3 linked regions of the Drosophila melanogaster genome follow. The protein of the gene in region 1 interacts with the protein of each later gene in a pairwise test. Each region holds a gene or a part of one and is shown on either strand. Other genes may lie near its edges.

The links.
Region 2: the proteins of CG15545 (region 1) and Hmx interact in a two-hybrid assay, tested with the Drosophila melanogaster proteins (one large-scale study listed by BioGRID).
Region 3: the proteins of CG15545 (region 1) and drl interact in a two-hybrid assay, tested with the Drosophila melanogaster proteins (one large-scale study listed by BioGRID).

The regions. Positions count from the first base shown.
Region 1 is NT_033777.3:30,868,026-30,875,338, reverse strand, and holds CG15545 (uncharacterized protein), read left to right. Parts: upstream 1-2,987; 5' UTR 2,988-3,058; coding exon 3,059-3,076; intron 3,077-3,139; coding exon 3,140-3,385; intron 3,386-3,468; coding exon 3,469-4,281; 3' UTR 4,282-4,400; downstream 4,401-7,313. Other genes in the region: CG15546 (uncharacterized protein), read left to right, coding at 1-437; Cpr100A (cuticular protein 100A), read right to left, coding at 6,656-7,121, 7,185-7,313.
Region 2 is NT_033777.3:17,555,930-17,564,464, forward strand, and holds the start of Hmx (H6-like-homeobox), read left to right. Parts: upstream 1-3,000; 5' UTR 3,001-3,434; coding exon 3,435-4,264; intron 4,265-8,535. UniProt on the Drosophila melanogaster protein: Transcription factor involved in specification of neuronal cell types.
Region 3 is NT_033779.5:19,187,333-19,195,876, reverse strand, and holds the start of drl (derailed), read right to left. Parts: upstream 5,536-8,544; 5' UTR 5,149-5,535; coding exon 5,043-5,148; intron 1-5,042. Other genes in the region: pigeon, read right to left, coding at 6,292-6,431, 6,777-7,001, 7,072-7,286, 7,346-7,578, 7,635-8,544. UniProt on the Drosophila melanogaster protein: Probable coreceptor of Wnt proteins. Involved in neuronal pathway recognition and ventral muscle attachment site selection. Non-vital for development. May be part of a signal transduction cascade involved in learning and possibly memory.

The sequences.
Region 1 (7,313 bases):
ACTACGATGATCGGGTGGATCGCGATGATCGGGAGGATCGCGAGGATCGTGAGGAGCCCACCTACGAAACTCGCTACCGTCAGCAGCCAAATATGCCGACAGGAAGTCGCCAGCAGCAGCAGCAGCAGCAACATCAACGCTCTTTTATGGAAACTAGTCGGAGCAAGCCATTAAATAATAATAATAATTATCAGGCCAACGGCAATGGTAGGAAAATCTTTCCAAAAATGCCACAGACCCAATCCGGAGTGGGTAACACACACACTATCGACGAAGATCCCCCCGTGCCCTCTGACCCTCGCAAACACCTGCGCAGCAGCCTCTGCTTCAGCGGCGACGCTTTGATGGTGGGCGGTACGGCGTCGCAGTCGCCGCCCACTGCGCAGGCGCGTCGCAGCTCAGCGGGGCAGAGAGTGAGCGTGGGTCTGCCGGACTGAGGGCTCCAGTTCGCGTGTTCAGTGATTAGTGCAGCTACACAGTGAGAAATGCAAGTGCAAAAACATATAACTGAAGCGATGAAGAAGATCATACAAGAATATCTGCTTGACAATCATTAGGATGAAATAGTATTACAAATATTTCTCTATGTAGTAAGTCGACAGCAACAATCTGCATTGCTAATTGAAAGCCAACAGCGACTGCAACAGAAGCAGCAACAACATCTGCAGCACAACAGCCACATCAGCAGCAAGTTGATGCGACAGCAGCAGCTCAACCTTTTTTTAGTTTTTACTTTTACGATCCCATACAAACTCTGAATTCACCCACATGCGAATGAATGAGTCGGCTTTTTTGTTGTTTTCGAGCGGTTGAATATACATACATAAACAAACCTTGATCTTGACTAATTTGTCGGCGATGCTGTTGTTGTGCACCACGATCATGTATTAATTTAGCTTTTAAAGCCAACGCAGAAAAATCTATAATTATAATGATAGAGATATGCTAATAAACTAATACATATATAACCAAATAAATTTCGAATCGGGAAATATTCAATTAAGCCTTAAAAACCTACTATAGGCACAGAAAAATATACATGGGCACTTAATCAATTCGTTTGGTATTCAGTTTTCAAACTAATAATGAAAGAGAGTGAAGTTCAAGTTGTTATATATTTATATCGAGGTAATCGAAAGCAGGCGCACATTGAACTTGGAAAGGCTTGCCATGAATACAACGCAGCTATTCATTGTGTGCATTGTGTGAATAGAAACTTATTCATACCTCAAGCTCACTGATGGGCCTGTAATCTGTTTGGCAATATTATGAATCGATCTAGTATGTAATTCATAGACCGTAATGTAATTCGAGGCACCCTTTCGCGCGGCTTTTCTTTATCGACTCATTTGAAATTCCCAACAATTTGCTAGTCTGGCAATCAAGTCCGTTGCTCTGGGCAGCTCACCTGGCCAGCCCATTTTGGGGCTGGGGCTGGGGCATTCGCAGGTCCCTGCCCCTAGCTCCTTTCACAAAACTTTCAGAAAGAAAGAGCCATTGAGGTGGCATTGTTAGGAGCCAGCGGAAATCCAACCAAGCTTGCAGTCAAGTTGAAGTCCAAGTGCCAGTTTAAATCGCGACTGGTGGGGTTTCCGAGCGGTTTCACAAGGAAACGGGGCATTATGCGGCGTTGCAACCAATTGTCACGCGTGTTGAACTTGAGCTTGACCTTGTCTTGGAACGGGGTGTGGAATCCAACCACCCATTGTCCAGCCAGCAAATTGCAACAAGTGCGGCAATTATCCAACATATGCCACGGGGCTGCAATCAAGGCGGCATTAGCCGGGAATTTAATTAAGGCATCGCTTTAATTGCCGACAATCTGCAGCTGCCATGGGAACCCAATTCAAAATCCAGAGACAGGATAAGCGTGCAAAATAATTGTGCAAATGAAGCGTGGTGAAATGTTACGCAACTCCCTGTCCATATCCACTGCCATTTCTCAAACCATTTCTTCGTCCATTTCCATTTCCACATCCACATCCACTTCCACCAACTCCGGGACAAGACAAACTGCTCAACCTCCGCTCATGTACGTCCATACGGCATACATCTTCCGCATTTCGATCGCGCATCCTGGCCGATAGAAAGTAGTCCAAGCGTGCCGGCAAAAAAGGCGAAAGGGGCCAAAAAGCAGCGCCAGCTGGCTAACATTTCCTGGCTCGACTTGGCCCCGACTGAACCTGAACTTCGGGCCAAATGCGGAGAGAAGAAAAGTGCAGCGTTTATTGGGTAATACTCGTGGAAACCCGTTTGCCGCAAGACTGATTTAAAAAAGTCGATAGGATAGGTGGTTCTTCTGCTTTTTAGTGGGTGGGTGGCTCGTGCCGGTCGACGTCATACACATTAAAAAATTGTTGGTGTAAAGTGAGCGATTGTAATAGTTAAATATTTAATGGAACGTAGATATATTACCATTTTCGATTATGATTGTTATGATTATTAATTAGCAATTGTAAGTTTGTTACTATCGAATAAAGGCATTCCTTTTAGTTAGCTGTATATTAACAAGTTTGAGGTCAAATTACGCTACTCAAAAAAGCCATCAATCTTTGCCTATTAACTATATTGTCGTACATTTTGCATATCTAATTTGCTTACTTTCCTATTAAGTCACATACCACAACCTAAGCCCCCTCCACAGTTACAACTTCGAAGAAGTAAATGGCCATCGTTATGTGTAATTACGGCCATAAAGAAACATTTTATTTATGCCCCCTGCCCCATCCGATAAGTTGGCGCTCTATTTCCTAGTGGAAATGCAAATAATGCCTCACTTTGCGCGCGGTAAACTCTTTTTTTTTACTCCATGTTGTTGTGAGTAGTAAGTCCATGCGTGAAGCGGAGATTTCGATCTGCTACTGACTAGCTGCTCACCTGGCAGGTTTCAATTGCGATTGCCATTGCGAAACATGTTGCAGCAGGTTCGAGGAAGCTAGCATAAAACTGTTGCGTCCGTTGGCCGAACTTTCAGTTTCGTTGGGGCCACGCTGGTGGTTAATACCATTGAAGAGAGTTTTCACAAGACGCAATCACCCCGAAAAAGCCGCCACCCAAAATGAAAGTGTGCTGGAATGTAAGCTGTTGCATCCGCAATCGTAGATTCACAATTAACATGAAATGGATACTATCTCCTTAGTTCTTTGCTGCGGCGGTGCTGTTAGTGACGGTCACCTCGGGGCTGAGACCCCCACGATCCTACTATCGGAGGAGCTACTTCAGTGCAGTGGGTTCAGGATCTGGGCACGCACCCAGCTCTCTGCCAGGACCAGTGAGAATAGGACCCGCTAGTTACTTCCGTGCCGATCTGCAAACAAATGAGAGCAAGCACCGGCCACTGAGCAAAAAGTATCCCAAGAAGAGCCACTACAGACCCTACGGATCGGTAAGTTGGCCTAACAAATAAGATATCAAATAATAGGAAAGATCTAAAAGCCCGAAATAATACAATATTCCCCTAAAATATAGCAAGAGGAAGAGGACGAACAACGCTACAATTCCGCGGAATATTCAGGAGAGTCCTCCGTTCAGGATAGTCGGGAATACACGATTGGCACCCAAATTCGCGTCCAGCATCCCATAACCGTGCCCAAGAAGTCCAGTTCCGGCTACCAGAAGCAGCCAAAATATGTGACGGCCATTCCATACAAGGCATCTGGTTATGGATCCGATATCCACAAGCCCTCCGGTTATGGATCCGATGTTCATATTGGATCTGGAGAGGATGTTGGACCTCCTCCGAAAAGATCGAAGTGGACCCCAGTGCAATACGAATCGGAAGCCGATCCCTTCCATCTAGTGCCACCTCCAAAGGCAACCGTCGCCTCCAGCAGCAACTCATATAGTGTTTATGAGCCCGAACACGATGACTACGAGGTGGTTCCAGTGCCCCGACCAAAAAGCCACGATCGCTACAAAAGCGTCGCCTCCAAGAAACAAGTAGAGGCCTACCTAGAGGATCAGCAGAAGCTGCTCGACGAGGCCATCAAAGTTCAGCTTTTGAACAATCCGAAGCTGCAAAAATTCTTCAAGGCCCAGGCGCAGGAACAGGAGCGGGAATCGCGGCCAGACCTCGAAATCGAGGATTTTGAGGCCTATCCGCCCAACTTTTCGGGGCCCGGACACCTGCGCAACAAGTACATCGAACACCCACCATCTTCTCCGCCGAAGGGATCTCGATCACGCCGGCGTCCTCCAAGTGGAGATCTTAACCGACCACCCAAGACCATCATCAAACCGAAAAGGAAATACCGATCCACAGCACTGGTCATCAATGTGTGAGAGGGATTACTAAGTCCTGACTTAATCGTTAATTAAAATATCGTTTATAAATACTTAGAGTAGTCTTGTTGTACAGAGTATTTTTAAGTAATAAAAGACCATTTATTTTAAATGCCCCTATTTAAATGACTTTATCTTGGAAGTTTGGTGTTGATATGAAAGAAAATTATGGATATATTTTGATGCATTTAATTTATAATTTACGAATTTTAACATACGAGTTATTTGGCGCTTAGGAGCAGTTAAGCATAAATAGTTGTATATTTTATAAAGTGTTTTAATATACTTTTCTGTTGTATCTATCAAGAGAACGGTGGCGGTCTCTATCGGTTTTTGAAAGAAGTATAGAGTCTCGGTTCTTGTCTCAGCTAAATGTATGGTGTCCCGGCTTTTCTACCATTTCATGAGGAGAATTCGTCACCAAAGTGAATCCGATAAGGAGTGTTGCTGGCTTATTTGCTTAAAAAAAAAAAGATTATATCACTTAACTCAATTGCAAATAACCTTTCAATTTAATGATGTTTTCAAGTTTATAATACGCCACTTTAATTAAATATATTAATTACTCATCAATTTAATTGGATTCTGTATTCGTCACACCCACATCGCCATAATTGGAGTGAGTTCCACATTTCACGACAAATTCTGGCGACGTTTACCTTTTTAAAAATAAACGCAGTCAATCATAAACGTGTGTTGTTCATAAAAATAGACGTATTAAGAACACTTTGGAAGCAACACACCCATGAGACACCTGTTTCGATCCCAGGCAAATTCTCGACTCTTACCTCTTTCGCAAATCCGAACGAAAATCCGCAATTGAGCAAGCCAATTCAATCGATTGCGATTGCCGCAAAAGTGGGTGCACAAAGGCACGCGGAGAAGAAATCATAAAAAGCAATAAGTAGCAAAAAACAAAACCGAATTGATTTTCTTAATTGACTAAACAGTTTCAACAGAAGCCAGACCCCAAAGCCAGGCAAAGCAAAAATCCAAACTCCAAGCCGGACCCTCGAGTCCACAACAAATCTGACCTTGAAAGCTAAGCTCTGAAAAGTGTTGCTAATATTGTTAATGTAATCGTTGTCGGTGGTGAAAAGGAATGCCAACCAATGGATGTGGAAAGTACAGAGGGAAAAATGCTAAAAATAAAGACAACAATAAAATGCTAGCACTAAAAATATTTAAAAAATAAGTAAAAATGGAATCATGAATAAAATATAGTCAAATTAGAATAGATTTTGAGAGATATTGAATGAAATCAATTATTTCAGCATGCCCTGAATTAATTTATTATTTCCGAAGTAAATATATAGGTATAAGTGCAATTAAATAATAGAATAGCAATCGGTGCTCGAATTAAGTTGTAAACTATAACACACATATGCTGAGAACTCAGCAGGTGAGAGGAAATAGCAAATTAGCTGGCGGCATTCTTGCGTTCGATGGTGCATAAAATATGCAAAACATTTGGATGTTATTAAGTTGCACTAACGCAACTGGAGCCTGACGGATCGCAATACCATTGGGAATTGATTTAGAGCCCCAATCCCCTAATGAACCAGTGCCACCCCCACTTGCACATGGTTTTCCGGCTTAGCCAGCACCAGCACACCAGGCTGATTTCATTTTCATCGGAATTTTGCACAATTGGCCAAGATTACTGTCAAATGAGCGAAACCCGTTTGAGGTCTTTCCTTGTTGGCCGCATAGAATCGTAACAGAAACTCGAAACTTGTTTTGCACGTACGAAAGTCGGTTGTGTAATGCCGCATTTAGTGGGCGTTCACCACCCGAGGTGTTTAGATAAATCTGCTGGAAATTAAATAAGCGGCCACTGGCCGAAAAACAAAAGACTGCAGGACACGAACTTGGTTTCCTTCATATATTGTTTTTACTCGATTATAGTACAAATTGCTCAGACGTCCCAAGGCCCAAATTAACATAGTTTCTAAATTAATTTTGATCATTTTTCAACATCATCGAAGTTTATTGACTTCTCTTTTCTTGGGAAGACTTAAATGGAAAGATTAAAGTTTAATGGGAAAGTCACAGAGAAAAAGGCCGACATTTCTTGAGTTTTTTCATATTTCAAAAATATGCAAATGATATTTTGAATATATTTTGTAATTTAAATCAGCAATACCCATTGGGCAGCAGCGATTAATTTTCTCTGTGTAGGATTATAAATTAATAACAAACAGTACGCATATAGGAAGTACGATACAATTGCTCTTAAACATATCACACGAGAGTTTGATGGAGTCAAGAAAAGAGTAGGGGTTCTAGTTGTGATAGGGAAAGTTGGAAAAGAAGAAAGAGGATCCCTACTAATGAAGAAGATGCATAATGTCTGAGTGGAGGACAGTGGGGCTTATACCTTGTTGAAGGAGTAGGTGAAGCCATCGGGCGTGCGGTTCAGGGACAGTTTGCCGGGTGGCGAAAAGCGGTGTGGGTTGGGGGTGGTGGTGGTGTAGTACGCCTGCTGGGGTTGCGGCTGCTGATACTGGGGTTGGGGCTGCTGATACTGAGGCTGGTACTGCTGCTGCGGCTGCACGGGCTGTGGGTTGTAGGCGGGCTGGGGAGCAGGACGGTACTGCGGCTGGGCAGCGGGCTGCTGGTAGCTCTGCTGGTTCTGTCCGAAAGAGGGATCGTTGTAGCGGGGATCGTAGGAACCATCATCTCCGTAGTCATTGCTGCGGAAACTGGCCTGCGGCTGGGGAGCGGGAGCCTGGTACTGCTGCGGCTGGTACTGCTGCTGTGGCTGATATCCCGCTGTGGGCACGGGCTGTGGTGGAGCAGGTGGTGCCTGGGGCAAGTGATCTCCAGAAGCTTGGAAACTATTTCGGAATAAAAACCAAATTAATACAAGTTCGGGTATTTGTTCTATAGAAAGTGCTTACCCATTTTTGCCAGCTGTGTACGAAATAGTACGCCTCTGGCCCGTGGGATCCAGATAGCTGTAGCTGCCATGACGTGTTCCATCCGCATCCGTCTCCTCCTTGAAGTTGATGCCATCCTCCTGCTCATAG
Region 2 (8,535 bases), about 13 Mb from region 1:
CATTTGCTTTTAACCATTCCATTTCACGTTCTGCACGTTTATTGTTTTACCATGCTTTCTGCCTATTATACAAAATTCTACAACAGACGGATGGACAAGAGCCTTCTCCATTTGCCTAATGTGTTTGTGTGTGTGAGTTGGAAAATCGAAATTCGGAAAATTCCGAAATTGAAATGGAGTGTGTCTCGGGTATTTAGCAGGAATAATGTTAGTTTTTGTTCGACTACCTTCAATTGCCAAATTAATTGCAGTTAAGTCGAGCAAGCTAAGCCCAGCTTGCTTGCCCTCTCTATCACTGCCCCTATTCCCCTCTCTTTCGCATTGCAAACTTTGCTGAGTGTCTGTCTGTCTGTGTGTGTGTGTGTTTCTATGTGTGTGTGCATCCTAAAGTGGAGTCAATGAAAATTGCAACTCCCACTTTGCTCGTACGTCAATTAGACCTCCTTCTCAGCCACCCTCTCATGTCATCTCCTTTCGCTCACACACACAAACAGGCAGTGTGTGCCAGAGGCTCCTGTCTTTCTCCTTCTCTCTCTCTCTCTCTCTCTCTTTCTACCCCTGTGTCCATCTCTTTCCATTGCAGCTTTAGCTCTTTTATTGCAGTGCAATTTGTTGTAGAAATCGTTTTGTCCGACAGTTGAACAGTTTGTTATTTCTTTTAAATGTTCCCAAGCAAAGGAGCTTTTCCAAATTTTTGTGGCTTGCCTTGGCCAGCGGTCAGGCATTGAGATTAATGGGAGTTTCCTTCTCAGTCCATCCTTTAAACTGCACAGGCAAAAGGATCTCCTACGGTATGTATTTGAATTATCACAGATTCCTATAATAATGTGCCTGTTTTTTTCTTTCAGTTTTACTTAAGCTACCACATTTCTCTTAATTCTTCTAATTCGATATAATGTACAACAGACTTTTTAAAATATATAATATTTTTAAGTGATCCTTAAAAGCCTTAAGATCTTTACTTTTCAGTGTAACCTTTAGTTAACCTCTTTGATGGCATTTCCAATTTTCCCAAATGAGCGCAATCAAATCCGAGTTGAAATTTCCTCGAGAACAGAGCGAAACACAAATGAAATCATCTGAAGGTGCTGAGTGAACGCAATTTCCATTTGTGAATTGAGATTGAAATGGAAATGGGGCACCACCTAAGTGTCACTATTTCTGAAACCGTCGAGGTGGCCGGAATTCTTCCAATTCCCCACTCCATTGTTTCCCGGAAAAGCCCCGTCCCCCATTGGATTTATTTTTTATACACCCCCAATCCCACTCTAAAGTCTTACACGAAAACGAATCAAAAACAAGCAATGCACAGAGGGAAATTACGGAAAAATGTGTTACGGACGCAGGTGATGGCTCCGTCAACACACACACACACACACATGCACAGCTCCTCCAAGGGGAAATGGGAGGTGGTGGGTGGCAGATGGGGGTGCTGGGCGGGTGCAAGGGTGGCGCCTTGCCCTCAGCACGTGGAGACGCACTTTGGCAAAAGCAATCTTCTAAACAGGATAAATGTAATTGCGCATGAATTTCTACGCATATTTCGGCGTCGCTGTCTGAGCTGCAAATGTTTGTTACCCATTTGTTTGGTTGTGTTTTTTATGCTCGCTTTTCCCGTCGCTGAAAAGCGTTCTCCGACATTTCGAGGAGCTGTCACCCCATTGGCCCTCCACTGGCCACGCCCCCAAAGAGAGTGCTCTCTCCGGTCTCGCCGTCTCTCTCTTTCGACGGGTAATTGACTCGCATAATGTTTGTTTTGTTTTGAGCAAATCGTTTGCAACACTCTTTGAATGCCTCGTGGTTGTCTCATAAAAAGCGAAAGCATTTAAAAATTCAATTTGCCCTCTCTCTCATTCTCTCTCTCTCTAACTTTTTCTTGCTCTCACCCGCTCTTTTTCTGCAAAGTTTGCAGAGCTCCTTCGCAAAAATGGCCGCCTGTTCGCTTTTTGGGGGAGGTTTTCTCTTTGGGGAACGGAACGCTGTGGAATGAAACATGCTATAAGGTAGAAAGCTCAGAGATTCCAAATAAAAGAAGAAACGGGAATGCATTACAATGACATGAACGATACTAAATATAACTTAATACGTTGGGAAATTGCTTACATATTTTTAATTATTTAAATATAATTGTTGAAAATCTTTCACTTAATTTCTTAAGGATACCTTCTATCCTCGTATTTTTGATAATATCGTTTTTGATTAACGTTGTTCTTCACCATTTCGTTATCAAACATAATAAATACATTTGATATTTTATACATTTGATAACACCCACAAAACCTCTTTTACTTTTCTTTGCATAATTTATAAGTTGCTTGTTTATTTCTTTCGATATTTTAGCAATTCAATGATTTATCTATATCACCGAACCCCATTTGTTGAAACTTTCACCGCTCAATCTGCTAACCGCAAGGTTGCAATCGACTGGTGCATTTTCGGCACACACTTTTCTGGTCGAAAAAGTTTGCATCTGGCTGGCTGGGAAATTTCAATGGCGCCACAGAGCAACACTTGACCCCTGTTAGGTGGCAATTGATTGATTTTATATTGGCATTTCAATAGACACCAGCCGAGCGAAGCGATTCGAGTCGAGCCGAGTGCGCCCCCACTTTAGACGCGTTCCAAATGCCAAGTGTTTCCCATTCGGGGGGTAGGAAAACCAAAGCGCACTCCACCAGCACCGCAGAGAAAAAATAGTAAAGGAGGAAAATGCGAAAAGTGTCTGTCGATGCGGTTGCAGTGCAATTGTCGAAATAAACGAAAAGAAATTCCGAACTGCAAATGGAATGAAAAAGAGCGGCAGAAGGGGTGGGCCACCAGGCGGTGAAAGAGAGGGACAGCGAGAGCGATAGAGAGAGAGTGGGACACACCCTCCCAGGAGGGGTAGCAAATACGCAAGTGTGTGTGTGAGTGCGGAAAACCATTTAGCGCAAAGACCAAAAGAATTTGCAGGGCTGCCAGCCAACCACCTCAGTCTCAGTTTCAGTTCCACGCTCTCCGGACACGAGACCGGGGGTTAAAAATCCAGAGACTGAAACAATAAAAACACTAAACGATCGCTTTGCCACACACAAACACAAGCACACACACACACGCAGACACACACAAGCACTCGCATACATACAGAGACAGAAAGGACGAAGGACTCAGAACACAGAACTCAGGACTGCGTCTGTTAACAGCCGCATTTAAATTCAAATGCGAAACGTTGATCAAACGGTGCAGACGTGTTTCTCCCAACGGTAGCGCTCGGCGTTTTCCCTTAACGAGTTTTTCGTGGCACGACTGAAGTGTACAAGGTTTGGAAAATTCTTTATTTTCCTAACAAATATATATAAAACAAAAAAAAAAAAACACACACACAAGTGCAAGTTGAAGAACAAAAGTGCTGAATTAAACGTTTAAACTGCAAATCTAAGCAAAAATCTCAAGCTATGTCTTCCTCCGAGGCCGAAGTTGACATCAGTGTGGTGTCCAGTCCGGAGCCGAGTCCTTTGGGCGCCGCTGCCCGCGACAGTCCGCTGCTGGCCCGCTCGCCGGCCCGTTCCGCCGACGGCAGTTCGCCCCCGGCCACGCCTACCCATCGCTCCAATACGCCCAACACGGCCGCCGGCACGCCCACAACGTCCGCCTCGGGCGGCAATCACTTCCATCACAGTCCCAGCGGAGGCGCTGTGCCGCCGGCGGTGTTGCACCATCATCTGCAGCACCATCTGAGCAGCCTGGGCAGCCATCCGGTGGCGCTGCATCACGCGCTCCACACCTTTGGCCACTTGCATCCCGCCCACGGGGCCACACATCCCGCCCTGCTGCAGCACGCACTCACGCCCACCGGCCAGCAGCAGCAGCAACAGTTGCAGGTGCAGCAGCAACACCAGCAGTCGCATGTCGAGCGCCTTAGTCCGCCAATGAAGAGTCCGGAGCGGAATGGCGGCGATGAGGTGCAAGGACACAGTCTGAACAACAACAACAGTAAGGCCCTCAATCACAACAACACTTGCGCCTCGGCGGCCGCAGCGGCGGCAGCAGCAGCGGTGGCAGCGGCCAACCTGAGCAACAACAGCAACGACAGCAACGGGAGCAGCGGGGGCGGCGGCGGCAAGAGCACCACCGGCTCCAACGGATTCACCAGCTTCTCCATCTCCAGCATCCTGAGTCGCAGTGAGCCGGCCAAGAAGAACGGCGCCGCCGGACTTATCACTCCGATCCCGCAGTTGCCGCAACCAGGAGCCGGCGGTCCACAGGATGCGGCCATGTTGTCCAGGTAATTAAAAAACATTCCAGACTTGCTCTAGTCAAAAATAGCCCTCCCATTTCAAATGTGATTAATCTTGTAAATATGAAGTCGCCAAATTTAAAAATCTTAGTGTCAACATTTTACTTCAATTCATTTTAACAATTTAATCTGCAAAAATTTAGTCCATCCATCTGTCATATATAATTAGTTACTTCTGACGATATTCAGCTATTCCGCCTAATTTTGATCCGCAAGATATTTTAAAAAAATACAAACTCGAACTAAAATTTCATTCAAATTTTAACCCTATAATTACTGAAATTAAATGAGTATAATTTCATATGCCCAAGGATTTCCCATTGAATACCTTTTTTTGTAATAATAAAAATCACTCGTCTTAAGTACCATACCCATTTATTGCTCAGTGTAGGCGACCCAGATTAGGACGTTCGCCGGCGAACTGAAACCAAAAAGTCAAGCCTTGCCTCAATGAGCCCAAAACCCAAAGAGGCTGCCATTCCACTTGTTCGCCCTCGGGTTGGGCCAATTTTGTATAATCGTCCTAGGGGAAGACAAGGCAAGGTGACACAAATCTCTTCGCAGGAAGTGCACAAAGAGGAGAAATGGGATGGAGACGGACTGAGATGGTAGCCGGGAGATGGTCGATAAGACCGAAAATTGTTGGGCAAACGTTACACGAGACATTAAGTGGGTGAAGATGCAAATGGCTAAAGTACCATGCCATTGTGCTCCGAGAATCTAACGATTCCAAATTCCAGATGCCAGACAGATAAAGCAAATCCAATGGAACCGTTTTTAGTTGCACTGGACGCTAGCTGACCTCGAATATATGCAGAAAAGGTCTAAACCATTTTTGCCCTGCAATTTGGCCAGACTATCGAGTTACATAACATTTGTTAGATGAAATTTAATGCACCGCTTCGGGAATGAATGTAACCGACTGTCCGGCTGATTGACGGACTGACAATGCTCCAGTATCGTATGCAAAACGTGGTCCTTTCGAATGAATGAACCCTCAGTCCCTCCAAGCTGACCCACAAAAACTGGTACGTTTCTACAGCTGTTTGTTGTGCGAATGCAACTTATTGATACACAATGTGCACTGGAAATAAACAAGTCCGAGCTAATATTAACGGATTTTGTAAAATTTAATTGTGAAAAATAGCACTCGAAAAATGTACACCTACATAAATCTATATTTATTTAGGTACTATTCATTAAAGAGCTTATTTCTCTTGCAACATATTCCATTGATTCAATTTAAATTTGTCTCAGTGCAAATGCGTTTTTTATTCATTTCATTCATATCATAAACGCTGGCATATTAACCCCACTTAGCCGGCTTTTTGAGTCAGCGATCGAATTTCCAGGCAGCTCGATTAACGCATGTGTTGAATTAAAAAAAAAAAAAAACAACCAAGAGAATTTATAAGTTGCACTTTTATTTTACGAGAGAATGGGAGGGGGACTCCCCCAGACGTTTTAGTCCTCGAACTTTTTAATAACGATCATTTTCATTTCATTTACGCGTGCCCGCGTCGCTGATCGTCTCGATAAGGAAAGTCGGGCTGGTGGGCAGGTTCTGTGGCCGAGGGTCGCTACTGTCCCAGTCAACTGGACTGTGGCCCGTGCGTGGTTACCCCAATTAAGGACCTCGTCCTGGACAAAGTGTCGCCTCCTGCTGTTTGGCGCTAGCCCAGCTGACGTGTGGCTGCCTATGTGACTGGCTTATCAGTTGATCATCATCGGCCAGAATGATTAATGCCGGGGGGATATGAATACGAGTATGAGCACAGCAACATTGCTGAGTGATCGTTTAATAGTTTGAGCCGACTTTCTCCCGGCGGAGCTCGGCTTATTTTGACAGTTGCGCTTACGTTTTTAATTAGTCGCTGGGCTTTCTCTGCAGCCTGTACTTAATTACGATTCAGTTGGGCGAGCGAGCGGGGGATTCGAAAAAGTTGCGCAGCCAGATAGCAGGAAAAAACCATTGAAGAGGTGTAACCCGATATGCTTGTGAGTGGACTGGAAACAATGGGCAACGGCGAACGGAAAGGGTGCTCCTGCATTGTCCTTTTCTCCCAGGATGACGCAAAAAGCAGACGATGACATTATAATTACACACACACATACACATACAGAGTAAGGTATACATAGAGTAATTACAATCCAATTGCAATCGCAATGGCAATTGAGGACCTAACCAATCCCATAACATATCTCTTCATCTGCAACTGATTTTCGGCGCTGAGGGGATTAGTGTTTAGTGGTGAAATGCCTTTGATTCCTTATCGCGATGTTGTGGTGGGAACTTCTATGGTCGCAATTTAATCAAAACATATTCTGCAGACCATCGGATGCATCCAATCTGAGTCTGCGGCTTGACTTCACCCCAACCTCTCGGATTCGCCGGTCACGTGTCATTTGGCGGGGCTTCCCATGGTGGCAAATCGACAAAAGATGAAATAATAGCAAAAAACCAATATCATGCTCTTCACAAATGTCACCATTTTCGGTTACTTTGTTTAGTCGCCTCAGATCAGTGGGACATAGCCTAAGCCGCTCCCCAGGCACTAGACTATTGCTAATAATCCCGTTTAATGACAAAAGCAAACTTCGCTGCCCATTCGAGTGTTTAATATTTTGCCTACTTTTGCGGCCAGGTCGAGTATGCCTCGAAAACCGTTCGAGAACCCCTCGAAAACTGCTCGAAAACCCGTACCGTTAAATGTCAACAATGTAACATAAATTCCTGGTATCGGAAGGGGAGTACGGAATTTCGGAAGGGGCGATCCCGCACGGGATGGACCAATTAGCGTGTGCAAATCTTTCATGCATGAGCGATTCCTAAGCGGTTTTAGGGCTCACAGATCGGTTGGCCACACAAATTTAAATAGATTTATTTAAATCAATTTCGCTAATGCGACAATCGTATGAAAAGTGCGGGTAATAACATTTGAATTGGTTAATACTCCACTCGTTGCTTAACTTAACCCCAGCCACACGGTTCACATCACTTTGAACTTTCGCTTGGATCTCGACACAAAGAAAGCCCCACGGATGGCTCGGGGACATCAAAGCCGAAACTCATAGCCAACCAGAAACCGATGTTCGACGCCATGTTAAACAACTCAATTGCACAGCCCATTCTATGCCTTCATGCTCTATGATGCCAAGGACAAAGGGATCCCAAGTCGCGGAATTATGATGGGTGAGCCGGGGCGAAAGGAGCCCAAAGCGAGAACCGCAAACAATTCATTAAAAGCTAAATAACAAATGCATCAACCCCCCCTAAATATCCTCCCCATTTGACAGCCCGGGGCTGATTGGAGGTCTACGAGGGTCCAAAATGGGAGCAGGAGTGACCCGAAGCACCGCACCCACTTCTAAAAACATGGCCGTCCGCTTCCGCCGCAGCATGACACCAATGCAAATGGTCGTGGAAATGAATACCTAGCTGTCCGCGGTTTGCCGTGGGCAAATTTATTCAGTACTTATTTCATTAACCGCGACGAGCTCTTGATTTGCGTAATTAGCCGAGCAAATAGCTACAAGCTTTTGTTTTGATTCTTCATGGCACAAATTAGCCCCAGTAATTGAGGTAATTTCTTTTGTCCTTTTATTTGCCTTCATCTTGTGCCAGAAAATGGGATGAAATATGGGTGTTCCTAATTCCGGCTGTACCATCTTATTATAAATATATTTTAGTAAAGTCTAATACACTAATTCATTCAACATACATTCATCATTCCTAATCTTCTAAATTACCTATAAAATCACAAAATAGGTAGTTTTTACTGTATCATATCATATTCTAGTATTTTTCCATGCCTAAGTCAGATTTTTCTCGACGTGCTCGTAACTTGAGAGGACTTCCTTCTATTTTCGAGTTTCTGCGGCTGTTTGGGGTCTGGCTTCTCGGTGGGTCGAAACTAGCCGAAAGCCAAAGCGGCTTTCTCTCAATTGCCGCTGTAAACATGAAGCCCATTAGAAGTGATTTGAGCTGGCGACTTGGGGAAGCCCCTGAAGGCTCCTCCTCATAATTCACCAGTCCGGGCTGAAAGTAAACTTAATTGAAAATCATTACTGCTGGCAAGTGAAAATGGAAGTGGGAATCGCTGCAAAGAGAGCGACTGTGGCTATCGCCCACCTGGCTATTGATTTCCACACCTGATGCACCCTTGGCCGCAGCGAAAGAGGTCAACTAAATGTTAATGTCACACACACACATTCTGGCTTTTCTGTCTGAGGTTCGGTTGCAGTTGCACCCTCGAAAA
Region 3 (8,544 bases), on another chromosome or scaffold:
AAATAGAAGAGGCTTTTCCATTGATTTAATCCCCACACGCAATCGGAGCTCGTTCTTGTGAAAGCCCAGCAAGTTTTTCCATCGCCCACATGTGTTTGCCATCGAAGAAGGCCATTAAATCCGCCGCATAATGGACGCAACAATTTGTCTAGGCCCATAATTGGCGGAAGAAAAAAAAAAGAACTCATAAAAACCAAATGATAAACGCCAACCGAAAATTGGGAAAAACTCTGAAGTCGACTGAAAGTTATGCAACTCATTCTGCTCTTCATTCGAGGGGTATGGGAAAATGGGCGGCAACGGAAAACTCTCCCATTTCGTGTCTGACCACCACCAATCATGCAAAATCCGAAAAAAAAAAACTGAAGAAGAAAATGCAACCGAAAACAGATCCCCCAGCAAGAAGAAGTCCAAAAGAACATAAACAATTGAAACTGATTAAATTAATTTGATAACAAGTCCGGACCGACTGACAGAGGAGCATTGAAGCACTTTAGATATGACTGAGGAAATTCACTTTTTCACTGAGGGGGTGAAAATCGAGTTGATATGTGAAAGCACTTTGGGGAATTTGTGGCGCTGCTGAATTGGAATGTGAAATATGATTTTAATTTAAATAAATTTAGTTTAATTGAAAGCTGGATAAATGGGCTGCTTCAAAGCAATTACAGATAGTTTAATTCGGTTTCGCTCTTTTTATTTTGGCCTTTTTTTGGGTTCAGTTCCATGCTACAAATTATAAAGATTGACAGGGAAGTGAGCACTTGGGTATATTAAGTATTATTCATCAAAAACTTGTATTTACAATACAAAAAGTATTGTATTTTATTGAACTTTTTAAATATATATTACCCATATTATATAGGCTATGAATCTAATATTATGCGTAAGGGCTTCTCTCATAATATACGAAATATGTAGAAATAAATCAAATATAATTATTACATTTTATGGCTATTGGCGACGAGATGCAGCTTGCATCGTAAATTGCAGTAAAGCATGTAAGATTATAAAGGGTTATTTGTGGAATCCGATTACATTTAAACAGAAAATTGCTCTGCAGGCACCATAAAACATTCAAAGCCTCCATTTATTGTAAACTCCCCATAAGCTGTTAGTTTATGTTTACTGCACTTTTTTTTGGTTCGAAAACTTTAACATTTTGACTGGAAAATCTGCATTTGTGCACATGTGTGTGTATGTGGGTGCGAATGCATGATGAACAACAAGTTGCTCATGATAATTTGCTATAATTGTCACCCTGAACAATAATCAAGCAAACACAACATCCGCAAATGATTTAGTGATTTAATTAAGCGCAGTGGTGGCTTAAATTACGTAGGCGTTGCCGCCTAACCATAACCGATTTTTTGTTAATGATGCATAGTAATATTGTGCAACACACGGGGATGAAGTGATGGCCAGAAGGGGCACAATGACTAGCCATAATCGAGGGGTGGGGGATGGAAGTGCACGCAGAAAAACTAATCTAGAACTTAAATTTTGTGCTCTCATGCATAAGATAATTATACGTATCATTAGCACAGAAAGTACAAGACATTTCTAAGTATACCATAATCAATTCGATATTTAATTACTATTTTGCTATATTTGTTCATATTCAAATATATTTTTATATCCTTTTTCCTATATGATTTATATAATTTCGAATGAAAGCATAAAATTCCTCCCGACCAGCGAAAAGTTGCACATACTGTTGGCACAGAAGTTGCTGCAGTTGCTGCTGTTGCATCGATTGATGTTGCTGTTGCTGCAGCATCTGATGTCGTCGTCCTTGTCACTGTTGCATCGACATTTCTGCCGCCTGTCTCTGTCCGCGTTGTTCATTTGCCAATTACGCGTTTAACTCTGCATGAAGCCAGACATAACAACCTGGCAACTGAATGGATCGCTACACGCAGCGAAAATTCCAAAAGTAGCAAAAGAGTATCAAAAACTCTCTAGATAAAAGTATCATTGTGTACTCGTTGCACTCAAGAGTGATTTTAAATCACAAACATAATAAGTAAGTACAAGTGTAATTGATGTACTGAGTAAATGTTTTTCGCCGTGTAGACAGGAGACAGGTGGCAGGGGCAACCGCTTGTTTGTGTTGGCGTGGCAAGTTGGCAACACATGCCGCACGCTCGGGCAGATCTAATGCCTTCGCTTCCAACTGCAGCATTAATTATTCCGAGGGTGAAATATTTTTGGCCACGCACGCCAGAGATTTCACTACAACTTCTGGGCCAAATCCTGGGATGCAGATGATGGCGATGATGCTGCTGCGCCCTAATTGAGTTCACATTACTTGCCGAAATATGTTGCGTTTGGGGGCAAATGCTCTTGCTTTTATTAGCCAAACGTGAGTTGGCAACAATCGCCATTGTTCGCCGGCAAATCATGTTCATTTCGAGATGATGAATCCTTCGACCCGCGCCAGTTGAAAGTGTCAAACCATTTAGAGAGTTGGGATGGGGTTGAGATTAGCAAGTGTTGATAGACAGACCCGAAACGTGACTGGCAACATCCATGGGTTACATGGATTAGGGAGGGATCTGCTCAGACAGCTGGCAGGGCTACAAAGTTGGGCAAAGTTAAAAGCCCCATTGAGCCAAGTGTGTGGCGGGGGAAAAGTTTTCCGAATGTTATAGGATGTTATAGGTTCTGGCTATATGAATTTAATTGCTTTCCTTGCCATTAACAGTGGGGTGCCACAAAGCCTGGGAGATCAGTGTCCTAAGATGGAATAATGGTAGTTCCCTTTAGATAACGTGTTACCCTTGACTATCCACACCCAACGCCGACAACTTTGGTCACTCATTGCAACCGCAAAATCCATCAACTGCACCGACTTTACATATCCGCTCATTTCGCTAACGAGCTGGGCCACAGAGCCACCGAACCAAGAAGACCCTCGCCACCGCCGCCCGGCTTGATCCACACCTGACATGGTTTGCATAGCATAGAGCACAGCAATTTGGGGCGCACTTCTGGATGGAGAAGTGGGTGGGCCATGGGATGGAACATGTGTGCTATGGGTATGTGTTCGGGTATGGATGTTAGCCTAACGAACAGTGAATGCCATGCCGCAGCTGCATGCAAGTGCATGGAGCTCTTCTTTGGGCGATTCTCCTTCACTCTGCTCCTGGGTTGACAATTTAATTGATGTGCACTCACACAAAGGCTTTTGAAGCGACCGCTAAAAAAATAAAGTGAAATAAAATAAAATAGAGTGACACCTAGCCAGGCGTTGCGAACACACACACAGTGAAGTCTCGGAAAGTAGGTCAGGCATGCAACCCGCTGTCAGCGCTGAATAATTGGAGAGGGTATCGCCACCCAATCCCGAAAGCCCAAAACCAAAAACCAAAAACCCTCTGGGGAAAGTGCAATTGGAGGAGTCGGGAATCGGGCGAAAAATGAATAGCGGCCACCGCTTAATGGGTTTTAATGCTGATTTCGTTTGACACTCGGCTGACACAACTAATAAATTTTCCGCTGCCATGTCAAGTGGAAAGCCTCAACTGGCCATCCATCCCATAGCAAACCATCCCACCCACTTGCCGTATCGCCTTTGATTGATTGTCTGCTGGCGCTTTCAACTGATTGCGAGGTGTGTAGTGGAGCAGCCAGGACTCGGGGGCCAGAACTGCAATCAAACATGAATTACGACGAGTGGCAGACGCTGATAAGCGGCTAGATAAGCGCCTGATTAGCAGCCCGGCACTGCAGTTCAAATATTTACCCAGTTATTCACAAGTGACGCGATGCAATCTGCGTACCTACATACTCCGCACTCCGCACTCCGAAACTCCTGACGCCCATCAATCAGCCGGAGGCACAAACACGCGAGTGTTGTAAATTTTACAACATAATTTTTGATAATTTTTCCCTATCAGCTATACAGCTCCCTGCGCCCCCGATCCACAGAACACACTGCCTACAAAACAAACACTTTGCATGTGTTTTATGATGCCACATGGATGTGGCACAACTTGGGCCGCTTCACCCTTTCCTTTTGGCCCATGGATTGAGGCTACTGATTTATTTTTTATATTCACTGGGTTGTAAATTCTTTGTCTGGGCCCTGTGACACATTGTAAAACAATTTTCCCCACTTTTATTAGCTTGGCAATCTCTTCGACAGGATTTGTGTGTGTTTCTTTCTGGCGGGGAATGGCTTGGGTCCAAGAAGACGAGGTTGGGGATGGGGATCGGGGCGAGGTATAAATATAAAAGTAGATTAAAGGTACTTGGGCTGCGGACTCGAGCTATCCCAAGCCGATTTGCTTGGCCAAGTGGAAACCTGGTTATTAGATGGAGATAAACAAATCTGTTTTGATAAGGGCTAAGAATCAGTCACTCGGATTTTTAAGCTTATTAGAGTAGTATTCTTCTATGGAAAATAGTTAGGCTAAATAAATAATATAAACTAAACTAAACTAAATATTTAAATACTCATTTTGGTGTCATTTTTTGACTACATGATTTTACTATTTATTTTCTTTTGAAGACGTTTATAAAATATATCTAAAATTGTTTTGTATTGTTTTAAATTGGATAAACTATGAAAAAATATGATTTTTTAAATAAAAACTTTGATTATAGAGGGATTACTTATCTAGAGATGAATCCACTTGCCAATCGAATTTAATTTAACGCAAAGAAATACAAATTTAAATCGCTTTAGCATTTCTATTTATCTAGATAAGTCTAACGAACAATTAAATCAAAGAAACAGGAAATCATGCTAGACAAATAGAATGTTTTCTTGTTTCTCGGTGAGCTGGCCAATTGAAGGAGGGACAATACTACTTTATATGTAGCTCCGAGGCTAGAAACAATTAAAAGGCATATATTATTTACGCAAAAAGAGTAAATAATCCCAGCAAGTCGCATTCGTTTGCCCAGGAGACAAAATCCCGGCTTGGCATAAATCAAATTTGATTTAAAGTCGAACGAACGCACACAAAGTGGCAAATAATTGCCCAGTTAATTGAAAAGCCAAAAGGCAGGCGAAAATCAACACGATTACTTACCGATTAGGCGCAGCACCTCGTGCAAGTTGAGGAAAATATTGAGATGGGCCTGACCGCTGGCGATCAGGGTCAAAAGTAATCCGATTGTTAGCAAGTTGGGGGCCATCTTTCGGATTCGATTAATCCGCCGGTTGTTTAGTCGCAATAAGAGGAAGAGATAGTTTTAACTGCAGTTCGGCTACTCTGCCGATTTTCTATTTCCCGTTTGGCACTCGCTAAAACGATTTAATTTCCGCTGCACTGCTGTTCACTTTTTGCGCTGCATTTGCAATTTTACGAGCGTCGCGTTGATTTCAATCGCGCTGATTATTACAGGAATTATTTGTCAGAGCATTTGGCACTTTGCCTTCTGGCCGGGAAAACTCAGGCGCACATATTTCCCAATCAGTCTCTGTCTCTGCACCCGTTTTTCCTCGCTTTTCTCGCCGTTCGTCCGCGTTCGTTTTCCGCGTTTGATCCGCTCACCGTGACGATTTTCCACAAACTGTCAACTGGATAAACAAACACTTCGCCACGAAGCGAATGGCTTCCACGCCGAGCGGAGTGGAGTGTGGACTGTGGACTGTGTGTGGCGCTCGTGGACTTGTTCTGTAGAACTTGAAGGCTGGAACCCGTATAACAGTCGTGTTGGAACCTCGAACTCGGTTGCAGTTCGAACATCTCATCGAACATCTCCAATTGGCTAAATACCAAAACTGGCATACTGTTCGATATCCTTTATTAAATTAACTAAACAAACATTCATATAAAGTTTAAAAAATAGACCCACAAACTTCCCAAATGAATTCGAATTAATGATGTAATATAATGATTTTAACCTTTTAACTTTTTTTTATTGTGTTTGATTCAATTTCGAATTAAACTCATGTTGCCAAAAATAAACATTACGACATTTTATACTTTATAAATCGTTAGTTTATTACAGAAAGAGAGACAGAAGCTTGCAGAAGCATAAAATAAATAAGTACAGAATATATAAATACGTACATGATTTTAGGTACATCAATTAACAACATAAATAATTTATAATTACAGACTTGGAATGTGTATCAGTCGTTACACAAATAATAGGAACAGAAAATTAATACTAAAAGCACACAGAAGAACCCTAACAAAAATCAAAGCTGCACGAGAAGAATCTTAACTAATACATTTGACAAATCAAATCTTTGGAATATTTGCAAACTGGCCTTGGCTAAGTACTTGATAATTTGACACAATACTTCATTAGTTACTCTTAACATTAAATTCAAGCCTCCAGTTTCAGCTGATCGATGGAGCTTAGAGTAGTTTCAATAAGCAGATTGTAGTCCAATTCGTTTAGACTGGCCTTCGCAGTCAGCAGGTCCAGAAAGGAGTCCAGTGGCGAAAGGGCTTCGGCAGTTAGATCTGCAAGAATACCAACCAAATTGGTCATTAGAGAGGTGGCTATGGTTAAGTTAGATAACAAGAAACAAAATGTGCAAATGGGACAACGACTGGCGAACACTGAACAGCGTTTCTTACCGGTCAGCGATGGGAATGTTTTCTACCAGATGAGAGGGCGCTGCCTGAACGCATAGCTCGATATGCTCAGGACGACCGTGGTTAGAATGAAAAGCAGAAAAACCAAAAGCAGCGAGTGACAAACAACAGTGTTGGGCTTGCCCAAAGCTGGACGAGATGTGTTCGGGTGAAGAGTGTACAAATGAAAAGTTAACGTGTTTATGGCGGGCTAACCAAGCAAGATCTTACCGCTCCGCGCATTATTTCGCGATTGATTCACGCAGGCCGTGGGTCGCTGCTGGTGCAACACCTCCTGCTGCTGACCCGACAGAATGTTGGCCGCATGCTCGCGTCCGCGGATCATAAGGCTGTCCGGATGCTGCCAGCATTTGAGTAACCTTTGAGCACGCTGCTTGGGCAGAGCAGACAAAAGTGATAGCTTCCGCTCAATGCCCAGTGGAGAATCTTCAATATCTGAAGGAATACATTAAGCAATAATGAAATGAACAGTATATGAAAACAAGTATATATATTTGTTACAAACCGAAAACAATGGCCTTCATCACATCCACTTGCAGTTCGAACACATGATTTTCCACATACTGCAGAAACATATCATAGCCCAGCGCACGATAGCCCAAGTAGGTGAAGAACGAGGAGAAACCCTCGGGCAGGGGAAACGCAATCGATTCCACAGCCAGGCAATAGCGCTCGAGGATTAGAAACAGAGAGTGCTGTTGATTGGCAGCCATTTGGTCACTGCAATCATTACAGACGTGAGTGAAAAGTGATCACATTTGAAATCATCACCAACTCACATCAACTGAAAACCCCTCGAGGTCTCCATGCGCGCATCTAGGCCTGCAGCACGACAAACCAGAGAGCAAAGAGCCCGCGAGAGTTCAAGCTGCGCGGAAACGAACTGGGAGGCCACCGCATGCACATGAGCTGGAGCCTGGGAGCGCTCGAAAAAGGTCTCCTTCAGCCAGCGGAAGCCAGTGTTGGGCTTTGACGTGTGCTTCACCAGGTGAACGCTCAGCTCGCGCAGATACTGTAAATTTCGTAGCTTTAATAAAAATGTTACCTCAAGATTACGCAGCAACTCACCACAGAAATGACGTGCTCCTGCTTGCTGGCTGTGCATCCCTCCAGTTCGATAAAGGGCAGCACTTCGTTGCTGAATGGAAAAGCACTTCCGCTACTATAGTCACCAAATCCACCGGTGCCCGTGTCTGGCGAAAGTGGCGTGGTGCATCTGGACAGAGCCTCCGGCTGGTAGCAGGCCAAACTAAAGATCAACTTCTCCGTCACCTGCTCAGCACTGAATCTAGGCTGCTCCTGCTTGGCTGACTCGTTGAGAAGGTCCCATAAGCGAGTCCAGATGTCCGTGCGATAAGGTGAAAGGCGCTGCTGTGGCGAGAGCAGCATCATGCTGGTATTGTGCAGGGTTTCATGAGAGAGACCCACGCTTATATCGGCCACCTTTGCGTGGATTGGTCGCGAGGCTAAGGCAGTAGTCAATGGCAGTAGTCGCATCAGTGGCTTGGCATCCTCTGGTAGTCCGCGAACAGCAGCCGCATAGCTGCCAGCCACAAGAGCCTCCTTCAGCAAAGCCACCGTATCCAGGGAGAGTGGTCGCTCCAAGATATTGTTCAGCAGCTCGGCCAACACATCCATATCGTTCGAGTGCAAAAGGAAGTAGTGGATAATGCTGATTCTATTGTCCAGCGAACTGTCATTGCGGAAAGCCTCTATCAAATGGGATTTGGGCACGGACAACGAGACCAGATCCAAGGTGGCCGCATCATAAGCCAGAGCTCCCCACTTTCGCAAAGGCACCAGCTGTGTGATATCGGGACTTCGATTGTGGGCTGCACACACGATATGGCAGTTCGGTTCGTGCTGCAGTCCCACGTCCAAGAGGTGGACAAAAAAGGCGGACGACACCAGCAAGTGATGCTGGCCGTGTAGCGCAAATGTTGGCCTCAGCAGACGGGCCTTTTGCCACGGCACACCG